Oryza sativa Japonica Group: one gene and its partners. The protein of the gene in region 3 binds, or shares a complex with, the protein of the main gene of each other region. Links are inferred from orthologs where the notes say so. Each region holds a gene or a part of one and is shown on either strand. Other genes may lie near its edges. The genes, in order: mitotic spindle checkpoint protein BUBR1, mitotic spindle checkpoint protein MAD1, mitotic checkpoint serine/threonine-protein kinase BUB1 and mitotic spindle checkpoint protein MAD2.

Evidence for each region.
Region 1: mitotic checkpoint serine/threonine-protein kinase BUB1 (region 3) and mitotic spindle checkpoint protein BUBR1 share a complex: the UniProt entries of both Arabidopsis thaliana proteins name them as parts of the mitotic checkpoint complex. The link is inferred for Oryza sativa Japonica Group from reciprocal best matches to the Arabidopsis thaliana genes AT2G20635 and BUBR1.
Region 2: mitotic checkpoint serine/threonine-protein kinase BUB1 (region 3) and mitotic spindle checkpoint protein MAD1 share a complex: the UniProt entries of both Arabidopsis thaliana proteins name them as parts of the mitotic checkpoint complex. The link is inferred for Oryza sativa Japonica Group from reciprocal best matches to the Arabidopsis thaliana genes AT2G20635 and MAD1.
Region 4: mitotic checkpoint serine/threonine-protein kinase BUB1 (region 3) and mitotic spindle checkpoint protein MAD2 share a complex: the UniProt entries of both Arabidopsis thaliana proteins name them as parts of the mitotic checkpoint complex. The link is inferred for Oryza sativa Japonica Group from reciprocal best matches to the Arabidopsis thaliana genes AT2G20635 and MAD2.

The regions. Positions count from the first base shown.
Region 1 is NC_089036.1:5,218,514-5,222,714, forward strand, and holds the start of mitotic spindle checkpoint protein BUBR1, read left to right. Parts: upstream 1-1,347; 5' UTR 1,348-1,429; coding exon 1,430-1,674; intron 1,675-1,806; coding exon 1,807-1,866; intron 1,867-2,010; coding exon 2,011-2,155; intron 2,156-2,265; coding exon 2,266-2,423; intron 2,424-3,106; coding exon 3,107-3,188; intron 3,189-3,270; coding exon 3,271-3,337; intron 3,338-3,418; coding exon 3,419-3,464; intron 3,465-3,557; coding exon 3,558-3,723; intron 3,724-3,845; coding exon 3,846-3,931; intron 3,932-4,032; coding exon 4,033-4,113; intron 4,114-4,200; coding exon 4,201-4,201. Other genes in the region: uncharacterized protein, read left to right, coding at 137-577. UniProt on the Arabidopsis thaliana protein: Essential component of the mitotic checkpoint. Required for normal mitosis progression. The mitotic checkpoint delays anaphase until all chromosomes are properly attached to the mitotic spindle.
Region 2 is NC_089035.1:38,697,438-38,701,000, forward strand, and holds part of mitotic spindle checkpoint protein MAD1, read left to right. Parts: intron 1-36; coding exon 37-284; intron 285-403; coding exon 404-575; intron 576-806; coding exon 807-893; intron 894-982; coding exon 983-1,186; intron 1,187-1,814; coding exon 1,815-1,977; intron 1,978-2,238; coding exon 2,239-2,326; intron 2,327-2,409; coding exon 2,410-2,479; intron 2,480-2,965; coding exon 2,966-3,094; intron 3,095-3,172; coding exon 3,173-3,211; intron 3,212-3,563. UniProt on the Arabidopsis thaliana protein: Required for the execution of the mitotic checkpoint which monitors the process of kinetochore-spindle attachment and delays the onset of anaphase when this process is not complete.
Region 3 is NC_089041.1:19,550,953-19,555,041, reverse strand, and holds the start of mitotic checkpoint serine/threonine-protein kinase BUB1, read right to left. Parts: upstream 2,851-4,089; 5' UTR 2,688-2,850; coding exon 2,542-2,687; intron 1,740-2,541; coding exon 1,580-1,739; intron 1,493-1,579; coding exon 1,335-1,492; intron 1,225-1,334; coding exon 1,131-1,224; intron 1-1,130. UniProt on the Arabidopsis thaliana protein: Serine/threonine-protein kinase that performs 2 crucial functions during mitosis: it is essential for spindle-assembly checkpoint signaling and for correct chromosome alignment. Has a key role in the assembly of checkpoint proteins at the kinetochore.
Region 4 is NC_089038.1:24,797,661-24,801,409, reverse strand, and holds mitotic spindle checkpoint protein MAD2, read left to right. Parts: upstream 1-1,485; 5' UTR 1,486-1,706; coding exon 1,707-1,779; intron 1,780-1,890; coding exon 1,891-1,906; intron 1,907-2,066; coding exon 2,067-2,197; intron 2,198-2,315; coding exon 2,316-2,540; intron 2,541-2,669; coding exon 2,670-2,791; intron 2,792-2,880; coding exon 2,881-2,937; 3' UTR 2,938-3,244; downstream 3,245-3,749. UniProt on the Arabidopsis thaliana protein: Required for the execution of the mitotic checkpoint which monitors the process of kinetochore-spindle attachment and delays the onset of anaphase when this process is not complete.

The DNA of each region.
Region 1 (4,201 bases), on a different chromosome or scaffold from region 3:
ACATAGTGCTAAGTGCTGATCTATCCTATTGAATTGCCTGCTATATTGTTTTGAGAATGAATTATATGTTTATGATTATGCTTTAGTAAAATTTCTCACTTGAGTTGCATTGTTCAGGGAGGAGTGACCGGAGGGAATGCAAGACCCAAGAGGTATGCCACGAGATGAATTCGCAACCCCGAAGACGCACAAGAGAAAGGTCGTTTCCCGCCCCTTGCCTCCCAGCCAAATAAAAGCTGAACCTGAGCTGCTGCGGAGGGAGGTTCCACTCACATCCGGCAAGACCAAGAAAGCCCCTAAGATAACCTTCAAGAATGAACCTCGCCATTCGGCTCCGCAATCTGATTGGGGAACCCCCGATTCGGTGCCAGAGTTCGGTCCAGCTGATGAATACAGAGCGTTACGGAAGAAGTACCTGCTGCTGGAGGATGAGAACGGTGAGCTGGACAAGCAATTGAGCCAGGCTGAAGAGGAAGCCAGCGTTCTCGAGGATGAAAAGTTTGCGCTGCTGGATCAGCTTGTTGTGTTGGAAGGCCTTGTGGATCCTTCACAGATGCAGCCACCGAGAAGGCTGTGAGATTCTATGCGTGTTCGTTGCCTGTTCATAGTCCAATTAAGTTACCTGTTACTGCTTCCTGCTAGATATGTAACCAATTGTAATGGAAGAGCAAAGACATATTATATCGTTTATTATGGAAGTTTGAACATTTAGAGCACTTGTTTGGAGTTCTTTTTGTGCAATATGAAAGAGTGCTATCAGTTTAACTGAAATTTAATCGTGGCAAAACAGAAAGTTCAGCAAGCATGAAGCTTTGCGCCTTTGCCTCAAGTTTGAGTTATGCTTTTAAGAACTACGCAACTGGTCTTGGGGAAAAAAGCTGAACAATTTGTGTTTCATGTGATTTAAGAAACTAAATCTGTTCATGTGAAGATCAACTGATCATCACAAACTTCTGCGTAATGTTTGCACAAACACATATACTCCAGCATTAACATAAAAAAAACAAAACTCATTCATCACGGCGAATTGACGGGCCACAATTTTAACAGTATGATTTCTCAAAAATCTTTCTACAATAGCATTGTTTCGATAACCTTTTCTAACCAAATAATTAATTAACTTCATAATCTACAGTATATTGAATTAATCTATGAATTTATCGGCTAATTAGCTGACAAGCTGAACAGGGCTGAGACTGAATTTCTTCATAGTGACTCTGCCGTGTGAGTGCTGACGCAATCAAGATCCAACAATTTTAGGCCCACATAAACTTTCCAAGCCCAACTCATGAAAAGCCCAATTCTTTTTCACCTTATATAAACCCGAGCAGCAGCAGCATCCGCCTCAGCTCAACGGTCAAAAATCTCTTCCAATTTGAATATCTCTCCTCCCAAACGGTCGGCTCCGGAGCGGCGCCCGGACGAACACATGGCGGCGGCGATGGCGACGACGGCGGCGGCGGCGGCGGAAGAGGCGGTGGTGGCGCTCGACAAGGAGACTCTGATGCTGATGGGGTGCGGCGACGCCCCGCCGGCTGCGCCGTGCGCGGAGTGGGAGACGTTCAAGGAGAACGTGCGGCCGCTGAAGCGCGGCCGCAACGTGGGCCTCCTCAACCGCGCCCTCAAGGCGCACGCCGACCCCGCCCAGCGCGCCGCCCTCCTCGCCGCCCGGAGGTACCGCCGCCGCTCCCGTCACCCGCGTCTCTCGGTTCTTGGGTTTGGTTTGCTCTGGATTTCTTGATTTGGGGGCGGGTCTCTGGTAATCTTTTTTTTTTCGTCCTACGTTTGATTGATCTACTGATTCAGGAAAATGATCGAGGCAATCGACGAATACAGCGGCGAGGATCCGCTCCAACCATGGATAGAGTAAGCAATTTCCCCTTTGTTTCATTGATTCGTATACTAGTAGTAGTAGGTTGAGCCGAAAGATTTGCCATGTCGGCGATTTCTCTGCGGTTTCCGCAAGCTTGCTGCTCATGGCATGCCTTTGTCTGCTTAATCCACACGCAGCTGCATCAAATGGGTTCAGGAGTCGTTTCCGACAGGCGGGGATTGCTCCGGGTTGGTGGTGATCTACGAGCAGTGCGTGCGTGCCTTCTGGCACGACGACCGCTACAAGAACGATCTCCGCTACCTCAAAGTGTGGCTGGAATATGTGAGTTTCATGAATTCAGGATTGGTTCTGAGGTGGATTGGTTGGATTGGATTGGATTGGTTTGGTTTCCTTTTGACATCCAGTTTGGCTTGATCTTAATCTGTATGCAGGCGGGGAATTGTGCTGATTCCGAGGTGATATTCAGGTTCCTGGAGGCCAACCAGATTGGTCAGAGCCATACCAATTACTACTTGTCCTATGCGTCGGTAATGGAGTCCAAGAACAAGCTAAAGAAAGCTAATGAGATTTTTAACCTTGGTATTGCCAGGTGAGAATTTTATGGGGGATTGGTAGTTTAGTTTCTTCAGATATGAGAAAGGTTGCGGATTTTCTTCAGTGCTAGTCTGCTAGTAGATTATTTTTTAGTGATAATAGATAAGTTCCTTCTAAATTTCCATATAGCCTTTGACAAAGAATTCCTGTTCTAGATTTGAAGTCTGTTTTCTTCGGATTTTTAGTCAACAAACATATAGTCTTACATATCCCCATTTACTGTTTTAGTTCTATGAATTATAGTAACTAAAATGCATTAAACTAATTTGGAGTAAGCTTATGAACCGTTGTAGCTGAAAACTTTTACCTTCTCTATTTGTTTTTGGAGGGATATGACTTTTCTTGCCACTCTACCTATACCTTAATACCTAAAGCATACGATTTATGCATTTGTTTGACTGCAAGGTGTATAGTCTTCCATATTCCCACTCACCATTTTAGCTCTATGTATTATAACTAAAATGCATTAAACTGATTGTGGAGTAAGCTTATGAACTGTTCTAGATTAAAACATGTATTCCTGACTTCTCTATTTTTTGTTGGAGGGATATGATATAATTTCTCAATTTTCTGCTCTACCTACACCTTAATACCTAAAGCATACTATTTATGAATTTTGTTTGATGGAATGGTGCATATTAAACCGTAAAATTCTTTGGCTTTTTTTTTTTTGGTCAGGAAAGCAAAGCCTGTGGAGAAGTTGGAAACTACATACAGGGCATTTCTTCAGAGATCATCCAAAAAGAAGGCACATCCTGAGGTGTACATAGGCTGATTTAGTACCCTATTTTTAATCTATATTCCACTGCCCACTGAATGAATTCTATTATCTGTTGAAACAGGATGACACAACTACTGATGATCATCCAGTACGCAACTTTGGGACTGTCTTGAACCGTGGTGAAATCAGTAAGTTTGCTGTGATGGTATGATTAACATCAATTTCAAGTGCCTGGCTGGGTGAACTAATGTTGCATTTTGATGTGGCAGGAGGCCAGCATGCAGAAAACTCTCACCTGGTGAAAACTCTGCAAAGGTTATTACTTGTTATACGCATGCAATCAGTATAAAGAAATCTAGATGAACCTGGAATTTTTTTACTGGTGTTGATACTGTTGCAAATTTGCAGAGTTGATGTCAATAGGCCACTTGCAGTTTACACAGATGAGAATTCGTTACCTAGTCATGGCCTTGCTAGAACCAGGAGCAACAACACGGCCTGGCAGACCCTTGGATCACAAGCAGATCGGAACAAAGAAAATAACATGAGGCCTGCTAAATGGACATCACACAAGGTTTTTTTTTTCTCCCCTAAGCCACTAGAATTCTTCAAAAGGTCCCTTTTTGCGACATGTCTCGAGGTTTATCGGTTCAGTAATGATCAATGAACTGATGATAGTATTGCACTGAACAACAGATTCCTCAGAAGGTTGGATCGAGGGCAGCAGTTCAGCCGACTCGTGTAAGCTCCATTGAAGTCTTCGTAGATGACGAATGCGCCGAGTATGCTACTGTGCCCTTAAGTTAACAGTTTTGAATAGTTCTTTAAAAAGAGTAACTGTAAAAACGTATAATTTTTATATACCTTCCTTTGATTATTTCAGGGAACCAGTTCCCCAAGTGCCAAAGAGTACAAAACCATCTATTCTGAAGCTTAGGCAAGCAACAAGCAGAAACCTCAAGCAGTAAGAATAGTTCAGCTTATATTATGTTTCCAGAGGTTCTGTTCCTTTCTCATTTTTTTTTAATGTACACTTGCTTTTTTTTAACAGG
Region 2 (3,563 bases), on a different chromosome or scaffold from region 3:
GAATGCATTTTTACCTGTATGGTTCTGTGCATTTAGGAAAAAGAAGTTGATGAAGCTAGAAGGTTGAAGTCTTCCCACACAAATGTTGAGTTACTTAAAGAAAAAATATTGGAGGAACAGGGGTGCAGGGAGAGAGCAGAAATGGAATTATCTAAGCTGCAGGAAATTGAAGCTAAAGCACAGAAGTTGGAGCTTGAATTAGCATCATGCACAGCATTGCTCAGCAACATACCTGATGTATCTTCTTTTGGTGATATACCTCAAAAGATCGCAGATTTGCAGAAGTGCGTGTCCATTGTTACAATTTCAATTTCATTTGTCTGCTATAGGCGAGCGCTATCAATTATCTGTGCTTCTTTCTTTCTTTATGTAAGGTTTATATGGTTATTTTGATTTTTAACAGGCAAGCATTGACAAATTTAAATAAAGTTGGTGAGGTAACATCACAGTTGAAAGAATTAAAGGTTGCATTGGAATTTGCTGATCTTAGCAAGCAACGGGCAGAAGGTGAAGCAACCCTTGCCAAAGAGAGGGCTGAAAGTGCTACTAGGGAGATCAAGCGGCTTGAACTTCTGGTACTGTTGTTTATTGCTATTTTTATAATTACTACTGTGATGCTAGTTTCTACTCCCCCCCTCAGTGCAATGCAATTCTGTAGATCCACTTGTGGCACCATAGCAAGTTCATAATCTGTTCATGCAACGATAACTCTTCCTCTGTACATTCTGTAATTACATTGATAACTTGTTCTTTCATACCCCATGATTTCATGCTGTCATTCCATTTGCTGTTTGTTTTCTGAACAGCTTGCTGCCATCAGTGAAGAAAGGGATAGATTAAGAAAGGACCATGCTGTGTCGAAATCTAGGGATGGAGATGATGCATCATCCAAGGTTTGTGATTTTTTTAATAAAATTGACAGTTTTGTGCCTTTATCATTCTTAATGGAATGCACAATATTTCTTGTGAGGTGACAATCCAGAATATGGAATCGGATCTATCTCGAATGGAAAAGGTAGTAACAGAACTGGAGAGCACTATACGTGACCAGAGAGAACTAATTAGTCAACAGCACACTGAGCTCAATTTGATGAATGAAAAATTGAGCATTGAATCAAGAAAAGCAAAATCATTGGAGCGAGATGGAGATCAACTACGCTCACAGGTGGCTTTACTTGAGTCAAAGGTAAGGGTTAAGATGAACTATTGAAATGGTATCTACATATGCTCATTCTGTTGTTTAGAGTAGTTTCATTTCGAAAAGGCACCCTTACATCTCATGTTTATCATGGTCCCATTTTCTTCATATTGCTTATATCTGTCTGGAACATCATAAGTTTGGATTAATTGTTCCAGTCCGGGCAACCTTTATTTATTTGTTTATTTGTAAGCAAACTATCAAGAATTTGGCTCCATTTATAGAGTGTACTGAGAAATGAAGCTTTATTCCTTTTAGTAAGGTAGCATGTCTATCTATCTTCTCTCATGAGCTGGTGTGAGGCTGTGAGGTACTGGACAGGGATGCTTCTCCTGCTTCTGTGAGAAAGCATGATTGGGACCATTATTTTTTTTCAGCTTCAAATGAAGCTTGGCTGAATGTTTTTGTGCTTAATTTCTGTTGTGTTTGTTGTATGTTGAGAGTTACCGTTTGCTGCTGGTGCAGTGATATATTGTTGGAGTCTCAAGTGAATGAATCTTCTTTTTTCAATAGAGTTGTTTTTCACAGTTGTCAGAAATGCCACTGTAAACAATACTAACTTAGCTGTTGATTAAAACCATGTTTGTACCTTGAATGTTCTTGTTATGTTTGACAGCTGGGCCATGGAGATTACTCTGCCTCTAGCACAAAAGTACTGCGTATGGTAAATACTCTTGCAGTGGACAATGAAGCAAAGCAGACTATAGAGGCATTGCAAGCTGAATTGAAGAAAACGAAAGAGAGGCTACAAGCAGTTGAAGAACTAAAAGGACAAGCTGGTGAGTGGTTTTATTCATCTTTTCGTCCTTGTGACAGTGTCCACATTTTTTGTTGGAACCGTGTGATAGAGTTACTACCTAAAGGATTGTAGGCTGTAGCATTCATTAATCAGTTGTCACCTACTCAGTTTTTTTAATTATTCAACAATATCTGATAACTCTTTTTTTTCTAGTCATTGCTCCATAGTCTAGCAAGATGTGAGAATCCTCAGATCTTCAACGCTTCATCAAACTTTAAATAGAATATTTATTTTACTGCAGATGTTGGAACTGTGGTTGATGTGAATATTGCTGAAAAGCTAGCACAGCTTAAAAATCAAATTGCAACCCTAGAGAAACGTGAAGAAAGGTACCCACTTTGTTATCTGTATGTTATAAGCTTCTGTTCATACTGATTTGTTAGAAAATGACCTTACAGTTTGTTTGAAACAGATATAAGGCAGTATTTGCAGAGAGGATCTCAGTTTTCCGAAAGGCTTGCTGCTCGCTCTTTGGTTATAAGGTATTATTAATATGACACAACCCATATTACACAGTGGATCAACCCTATCTATCTATTACTGCTATTTGTGCATTCTCCACCTCTTTTTTTTTAGAGATGAGGGATTCATGTTAGCATCTTGCGAATCTTACATAGTGAATCTGTATGCATTAGTATGCCAAGTCAGTGTTTTGGGATTTCATCCAATGTGAACCTCTTGAACCCAAATTAAAATTGACTCTCGATCCTGGTGTTTGAAGCTAAGGATGAAAGAGTACATCAGTATTTGTGTTGTGGAGTGTGGACATGGTTAGTTTGATACTTCTCAATCATGCTGTCTTTTGGTTTGAAAATTTTGATTGCCTTCGATTGTTGCATTGGTCATGCCTATTTCAGATAACCGTGCTCATCATTTTCTAGCTTCAACATTTCGTTTGATTTTTTCTCATGCCTTTATGTTTGATGTCAATACTATTTGACGTAACCTTTTCAATTTTATGGTTTTAGATAGTGATGAATGATCAGCAACAGTCAAATGGGATCCCTGTAACACGTTTTATTCTGCATTCTGTTTACGCCCAAAGTGATGATGAGAAGCTTGAGTTTGACTACGAATCTGGAAGCACCAATATTGTGGTAGGATTATTACCTTGCTGAAATTATCATTCCTATAATTTAACAGGGCATTATTTGATGTTATTAATGTATATACAGGTCAATGACTACACTTCTCAACATGAAATTGCTCAGCAGGTATTCAGCGTATTGGTTGCATTTGACTGTATTTCTTTTTTCTGATGCATGGATGAAATAACTAAAAAGTAATGTTACAGATGTGTATAGGAGGAAAGTGTGGAAACATCGTTATTTATTCTTGTCTAATATGACTATTTATTTATGTCCTCTAGTTTTGCATCTAGGTTGTATGCTGCACAAATGAATAGTCTGGTTGGTGTCTTAGTGAATTGCGTTAGGATGCAATAGATAAATCCCAGTGGCTAGATAGGTGTACATTTACTTAACACATCACATTTCATTTAAGGCATATCTCTTGGGGTGCTCAGGAACCAGCAACCAAGATGTTTCTAATGAGAATGCTGTACAC
Region 3 (4,089 bases):
CATCCACAAAGAAGAATAGCATTAGGCGACTATAATATATGCTGGCTACAATAATGGCCAGTAATGACAAGTAAAAGAAACAAAAAAAGGTTTTTGCATAAGTTACTTCACAAGCTTAACAGGGTTATATAGATATTGTTCTTCGAAAACATATAGAAATTGCATGTCTCATGTTTCTTTATCTAGTAATGATTAGTCCACTCAAGCAGGGGCAGGGATGTAGCTTTCAATGGCACATCATGTGGCTTCAGCCCGATATTTCATTTTATTCTTTGCTTTTGCAATTTGCTCGATTTTCTCTATTTATTTATGAATTGAACCGTATAAGAAGATTGTTTGGTATGGCACTGTTATGCTGATAGTGCCCTATATTTATGTTCTGACTTCACTATGGTAAAGCTGTGCAAATGCACTCCCGATTCTATCAATGTACCACATAGCATAAATAATATATTTCCGAGACAAACTCATAATAGAACACATACACCACAAGAATCAGTGGAAAGTACAACCTGAAATTCATTCCCAACTATGATTAAACTAAATAAAATATATCCCTAAACATATAATAAAAAAAGCCACTCTAAATAACTAGAATCATGCTATTTTTGTATAAATAGAGTTGCAGGAATGACAGAACAGAAACTCTTTCCATGAAAATGTAAAATAAACCGTCATGTATTTAGTTGAAATAGATGTTATAGATGTTCGAGCTAGTAAAGATCGGCAAGTACAAAGTAGATATCATTGTGATTAGCCCCAAATAAATATTAAGTTCACAACATGCAAACATGCAAATAAATGAATAAATTATGTAGAATGTATCACAGTTCACATGCACAGAAATGTGAAGACAATTATCCTATTGCTTGCCAACCTTTTTTGGAAAAACAAATGTTCCACCACAGAGAAATATCATGTAAGAAACAATATCAAAGCAGTTCTTAGTTCTTACTGCTGCAAGTTTGTCAGCCTTGTGACCAACTGACCATAGCTAAAATACTAACAAATCTACAACACAGCCACAATGTCCTGATTACTAAAAATGCAATTGAATATGAAATATGTGAATCATTTGACAAATATTCAAGGACTCAACTAATGTCCATTCCACCACACAGTTATCATACCTGGGCATCGGCATCTGCTTCTTCTACAATCTTCTCCAAGTGTTTTAAAAATATCGTATGCATCTTCTTCAAATGATCAAGTGGCTCGGCTTTTCTGGTCCACGGAAATGATTTGCGATCACATCAACATGACAAATTTGACATCAGATTGTTGCTGCCCAAAAAGTTCACTTCAACAAAAACATAATTCAGTGTCATACTAACCTGGAAATACCAACTTCATACACCTTACCAGCCTCCAGCACTTTCCCCTTACTGAAGAGAAACAGTGCATATGCATCATAGAGCAGTGCATGCTCTAAAAACATTCTTTTCTCCTCCAACTGCTTATATGCCTTATCAAAATCACCTATTGCATCCGCCTAACATAGAACAAAGTGGGGGGGAAATGAGCAAAAGGATAGAAAATGGATAAGGTAAGAATTGAAACTTCAAAGCCAAACAATTACATAGAGGATCCAGATCTTGAGGAGTCGGGGGTCTGTGGAGTACTGGTAATCGTCACCATACTTATCAATGCATTCCATTACACAAATCTTGAGCCGATCAAGCGCTGCTGCTTCAAATTTTGGGCCTGTCCTGAGCTCATCCATAGCCTTGTTGATAGACCTGAATACCAAGTCAGAAACTAACATAAACGAATGCATACACCAGGACTGGGGCCCTGACCAGGACAAACAAACCGCAGTGATACATAGATAAATTATGCATGAATACCAGCATGTGCATGAAAGATTAGATTTACCTTATAAAATAGATATAATAGTACCAGGAACATAAAAATAAGTTATATATGCAAAGTTTTTACCAAAAGGACCTATCAGAAAGCAGCACATTAGTACAGAAGGAGCACAGAAAGTGGGCACATTACATTACTTGACAGTTCAAGAACTGATAAAGGAATAAGAGAACCGTCTCCACATGAACAAGCTAATCCTTCACAAGAAAAATCAACCTAGCTGCACAAAACAAATCAGCTCCAAAACTAAATCCTTCCCAAGTCCCAACACTGGACATTACGAGTGACCAGTCACAATGTCTCGGCAAAATGCACTTCTGTCGTTGCCAGACACTCAAACAGTGGTGGTCATACCCTTTGCTTTTCTTTTTTTTTTTTCGGAACACACACGCCCCCATTTCTCACATTTCCGTTCGTCCAAGTTCAACTGCACACTGCCACTGAGCAATTGAACAGGAATCGCAGAGGCGAAGTGTCAAAATCTAAATCACACGCCCAATTAACTACATAACTCAGAGGAAGGGACAGAATCCCAGTACGATGCGTACGCCACACAACTTGAGGCGAAACCAAGCATTATTCCACGCAGCGCTACGGCGGAATCCCACGCCCCCAAATAGGACCTAAATCGAAGGGAACAGGTGCTGATATGGATACTGATCTAGCCATTACCTGAGGTAGGGGAGGATGGGATCGAGGGGGGGCGGGGGCACCTCCCTCAGAACCCTAGGCGACGGCCTCCGGAGCGGGCTGGAGGCGGCGGCGGCTGCTGCTGCTGCCTCGGGCACCACCAACGGCGTGCGTTCGAGCAGAACCATCTCCCGTGGCCGCCGGAAGAAGCCCTCAGAATCCTGCGGCGATCGCCGGCGGCGAGCTCTCCGCTCCCGTGTTGGGGGGTGGTGGATGCGTGCGCTGTCTGTGTGGAGAGAGAAAGACGGGAAGGAGATGGAGCGGAAGAGGGGAATAATTTGAATTTCGAATGGTTTGGGATGCGGATCGCTTGGGCTTGTGTAGCCATTTTTGAGGTTTAAGCCCACTTATTACTACAGCTGTTTAGTGTTTACAACTGGTTGAAGATATAAAATGGACCAATATAATTTTTGGGATTTTTTTTCGTGCACATAGCGAGCAAAAACCGAGCAGCACAGCTGAACAAGCGCACAGCACAATCAGATCGGTGAGAGAGAGAAGAGTTGTGGAGGATGGATAAACATGCAATTTTATGGCCCCAAATGTAAGGCCGAGTTTATTTCTAAAATTTTTCTTCAAACTTTCAACTTTTTCATCACATCAAAATTTTCATACATACACAAATTTTCAACTTTTCTATCACATCGTTCCAGTTTCAACCAAACTTCTAATTTTGGCACGAACTAAACACACATTGTGTTCGTTTCTCCCCTCTCTCAACTTTTAATTATTCTTTTTTTCACACACAGGTTTTTAACTGCTAAACGATATATTATTTGTGAAAATAATTATAGAAAAATTACTTGGAAAATTATATTGATTTATTTTTAAAAATTTTAATATACTTAATTAGTCATGTGTTGAGTGACCGTCAGAACAAACTCAGCCTAACGTTGTGTTCGGTATGGTAGGTTAGTAACTAATCCTTCGGTATGTAACATGGAGGATTACATTAGCATATGATTAATTAAGTATTAGCTTAAAAAACTTATAAAATAGATTAATATGATTTTTAAAACAACTTTTCTATAGAAAAATTTTGTAAAAAAAATCATCGGTTTGGGAAGCATATGTGCGAAAAACGAGTGGTAGAAGTTGGGAAAGGGAAGGAAAGAACACAATTTAAGTATCTTTCTTATCGTATAATGTACTAGCCAAATATTTATATGTTGTAACGGATTATTCAAAATAGAAAACATATCTCGTGCATCCTCGTTGAAAAAAAAATATTAGCTTCAACTTGGTAAAAACAAGACTTGATCTTAAAAGGCAAAAAAAAAAGGCATTGCTAGATTTTTTTTTCAGATGTTATATGATTATAAAGTATGTACTTGTTACTAAATTATGTTGTCTATCTCATTTTAAACTAAAAGAAACTAAATAGTTTGTGAGTTTTTTTAATCATGATGGCAAGAAGCAAATTAATGGAAAAATAAAGGACTATCTTGCAGCAAGAGCAGTTAAACACTATTAATACACACCTACTCCCTCCGTCCTAAAATGGGTTAATTGGATCCATATCATCGTAAA
Region 4 (3,749 bases), on a different chromosome or scaffold from region 3:
ATATACCAAAACTTCTAACAAACATTAGAAAAGTTCCCTTTGTAAAGAAAAAAGGTTGCACCAAAAAAAATCAAAGGAAACTTTCTCTTGAAAAATAATCTCTACCGAAACAATATAATCCTACTTGAATTTTAAATACATCCAAATTAACTTTCAAACAAAAGGCAAACAGAATGTCAGTGCTAGTCAGTGGCTTTTAAGGCATAGGGGTAGTTTTTAGTATAGAATCACATAGTTCACAAATATATTAAAAACTATATTTAGATTATTGAGTATATTATTATCGCCATTATATAACCGATTATAGTGGTTAATTTAATATTTTAAGATAAAATATGTCTAAAATGAGTGGTCTAAGTAATACTCCCTACATGCCAAAATGGGTGTTAGGCTAAATCACTTCTAACGCAAAAGACCGAGAAATAATTTGATTATCGCATCGGTTAGATCACATCCGTACAGGCAAGCAGTGTGATTGGGGGCTTGATGGTAGATGGTTTAAAACAAACCAAATTTAAAGGACTAAGAGGTGATAGTTAATGTGCATGCATGCACACACACCTTATATTACAAGACATGGAAAAAAGTTGTTGTGCCGTGATGGAAGGACTACAGTATAAGTTTTTGTATTTTCAAAACATAATTTTCCAAACCGTGAATCAAATGATATGCTCTGATAATATAATGAATAAGCGTATTTTTTTAGTCTGGTGAAGAATAAACTTTTCGATTTACAATTCGGCCGAATAAGCCCAGAAAAACAGTAAGAAACAGATGTCTCGTTTGGTAAGACGCTCATTTTGCGAGAACACTCTAACCAGCTTTACTCTATTTTTTTTGGTGAAACCAAAATTGTTTGGTAAGTTATAACTGTGCTAAACGGACGAATATGAGGGCAAATAGGGGTTGTTGGCGGCAAAGGGCAAATACCTTCCCTCCGTTTCTAAGGGTATTCCCAACCCAATGTCTAGGATGATGTCCATAACATTATATAAGTTGCCACCTAGGATAAAAAATGATGTGGCAAGTAAATAAATGAGGAAAGAGAAGGAAACCATGTCTTGCATGAGATATGGTTTCTACACAAAATATCATGTAAGATAAATTGCATTAAATTGAAGTATGGAATAGTGGTGTTTATATTGAAAGAGTAGTGTCTAGTACTAATTTCTTGATGATGTAGAGTTTATGAAAACTATGTCTAGTGTTATGGGTTGGGACTGCCCTAAAGGCCAACCGTCCGAACAAGTTCAAAAACCCAGCCACCCAGGAGCATTTTCTCCAAGAAAATGGTGTTTCTACGGTTCTACTAGTAGTCTACTGGTACCAGTACAATTCATCATCAACAAGAGGTAAAGGACTCGAAGAGAGCGCGCGGCTTGGGCGAATCGCGCCAACCGAAGCCCACTGGCCCACCGCCCACACGACCGTTGGGAGCGCAGGTCCGGCCCACCTTTAAAAACTCCCGAAACCCACCCGCACGCCGACACCTTCTCTCCCCCGCACCTGACCCAACACGACCCATCGACAAACAACGCTCCCAAGTTCCCAAGCGCCGCAGCCCGCAGCCGATCCGCTCCACACTAGCCGTTGCCTTTGCCCGGCTTTTCCCCCCCTTTCCTCTTTCCTCTCCCCCCATCCGCCGCCGCCGCCGCCGCCGCACGGGAGGCAAGAGGAGGAGTTAAGAAGGTGAGGCGGATCAGGAGATGGCGTCGAGGACGGCGTCCAAGGACATCATCACGCTGCGGGGCTCCGCCGCCATCGTCAGCGAGTTCTTCGGTAGAAGCCGATCTCCGCTTCCGTTTCTTTTATTTTTTTTCGCCCTCGGCTCCTCTCACGCGTGCGCGCGCCCGATAGGTGTTTGATCGAATGCCTTTTCTCGTGTGGCAGGCTACGCCGCGAACAGGTGCGCGCTTCGCGCGGTTGCGGGTGCCAGGATCGACGGCCGCCGCTGCGCTGATGCTGGTTTCCTTTGAAAGAAAAAAAATATAAAAAACGGTTGCTGCAGATTCAGGGTTAATTTCTGATCCGGGGTGTTTTGTGTTCTTGGTTTGTGCGTGGCGCAGCATCCTGTACAACCGCGGGGTGTACCCGGAGGAGAGCTTCACCAAGGTGAAGAAGTACGGCCTCACGATGCTGCTGACGCAGGACGAAGGGGTGAAGACCTTCATCGCCAACCTCAACACCCAGCTCTCAGGTCGTCTGGCCTCACTCACCGGATCACTAGCCTGCCTGTCTCCATTTGGTTTCTTTTTTCTTTTTCTTTTGCTGCTGCTGATTGATCTTGCCTGTGTTTCCTGCGTTGCCGCGCGCAGAGTGGCTGGAGGCCGGGAAGCTGCAGAGGATCGTGCTGGTGATCATGAGCAAGGCCACCTCCGAGGTGCTGGAGCGGTGGAACTTCAGCATCCAGACCGACCCGGAGGTGGTCGACAAGGGTGTCATCAAGGAGAAGAGCGACAAGGAGATCATGAGGGAGATCCAGGCCATCATGCGCCAGGTCGCCTCCTGCATCACCTACCTCCCCTGCCTCGACGAGCCATGTAAGCGCCATTACCACCACCTCTACTTCTTCAGTGTTCAGTGTTCATCGCCTCTGCTCTCCCCCCCAATTCCTCCCAGCTCATCCGCATTCGTCGATTGATTGATTGATTGATTGATTGATTTTGCAGGCATATTCGACGTGCTGGCGTACACCGACATGGACGTCGCGGTGCCCTTCACCTGGGTGGAGAGCGACGCCAAGCTCATCGAGAATCCACAGATGGTGAAGCTGCATTCCTTCGACACCAAGGTGAATATCACTGAATCGACTCCGTTTCTTTTTTTTCGCTGCCTCTCCCAGATTGCTGACGTTACAGCGCCGTGTTCTTGCCATGGCAGATTCACAAGGTGGACACGCTCGTCTCCTACAAGGTCGACGAGTGGGACGAGGAGTAGAAGCCGCCGGTGGAGGTTGGAGCCATGAGGAGGAGACCCCCTTGCTAGTTTATTGCTGCTAGCTTATTTAGCTAGCTTAGCTTGCTAGGCGTGATGCTTGTGTGAATCGTTCGTTCATTCACGCCCTAGCCCTATCGGAACTCGTGTGCTCTGGGAGAATCCCTTTTCTTGTTCTTTACCGCATTTTGGGAGAATCGACTGTGTATCGCTGCTTCACCATGATTTTTTTTTCCTCAGCCTTTGAAATCCTGGGTTGAAAGTACCACTGGAGTTGAATGCATCGTGATCGTGTGCCACGATTTCTTCACTGTGTTGTTCAATTATATGTGTTGTTTCTCACTTCAGAATCTCAAAAGATTCAAGGTGTTTTGAAGTCATATGCTCTGTGAATAACAAAATGCACTTAAATTAAAAGTAATTCTGTACCATCTTCAATCTCAAGACAGCCGTATCCTCAAAGTTTATGTTATATCGACCACCGTTTTTCTTGTCAAAACTTGCATATTAAATTAGAAGTAATTTTGTACCATCTTCAATCTCAAGACAAAATGCACTTCTGCTGAATGAATTTATTCCAGCTTCGGAACTTCCAAGGCTGTTTGCAACAATCCATCAGAAATCTTACATTTTGCCAGACAACCTTCGTTGTCCGGACAAATTACACTTCTGATGAATGTATTTGTTTCCAGCTTCCAAGACTATTTGTGACAAATGTAAAACCCAGTATCAGCATGGGTAACAAACACATTGGAAACTAACTAACACCAAGATGCTACAGAGCTACATTTACATTTACATATAAACCAGAGGAA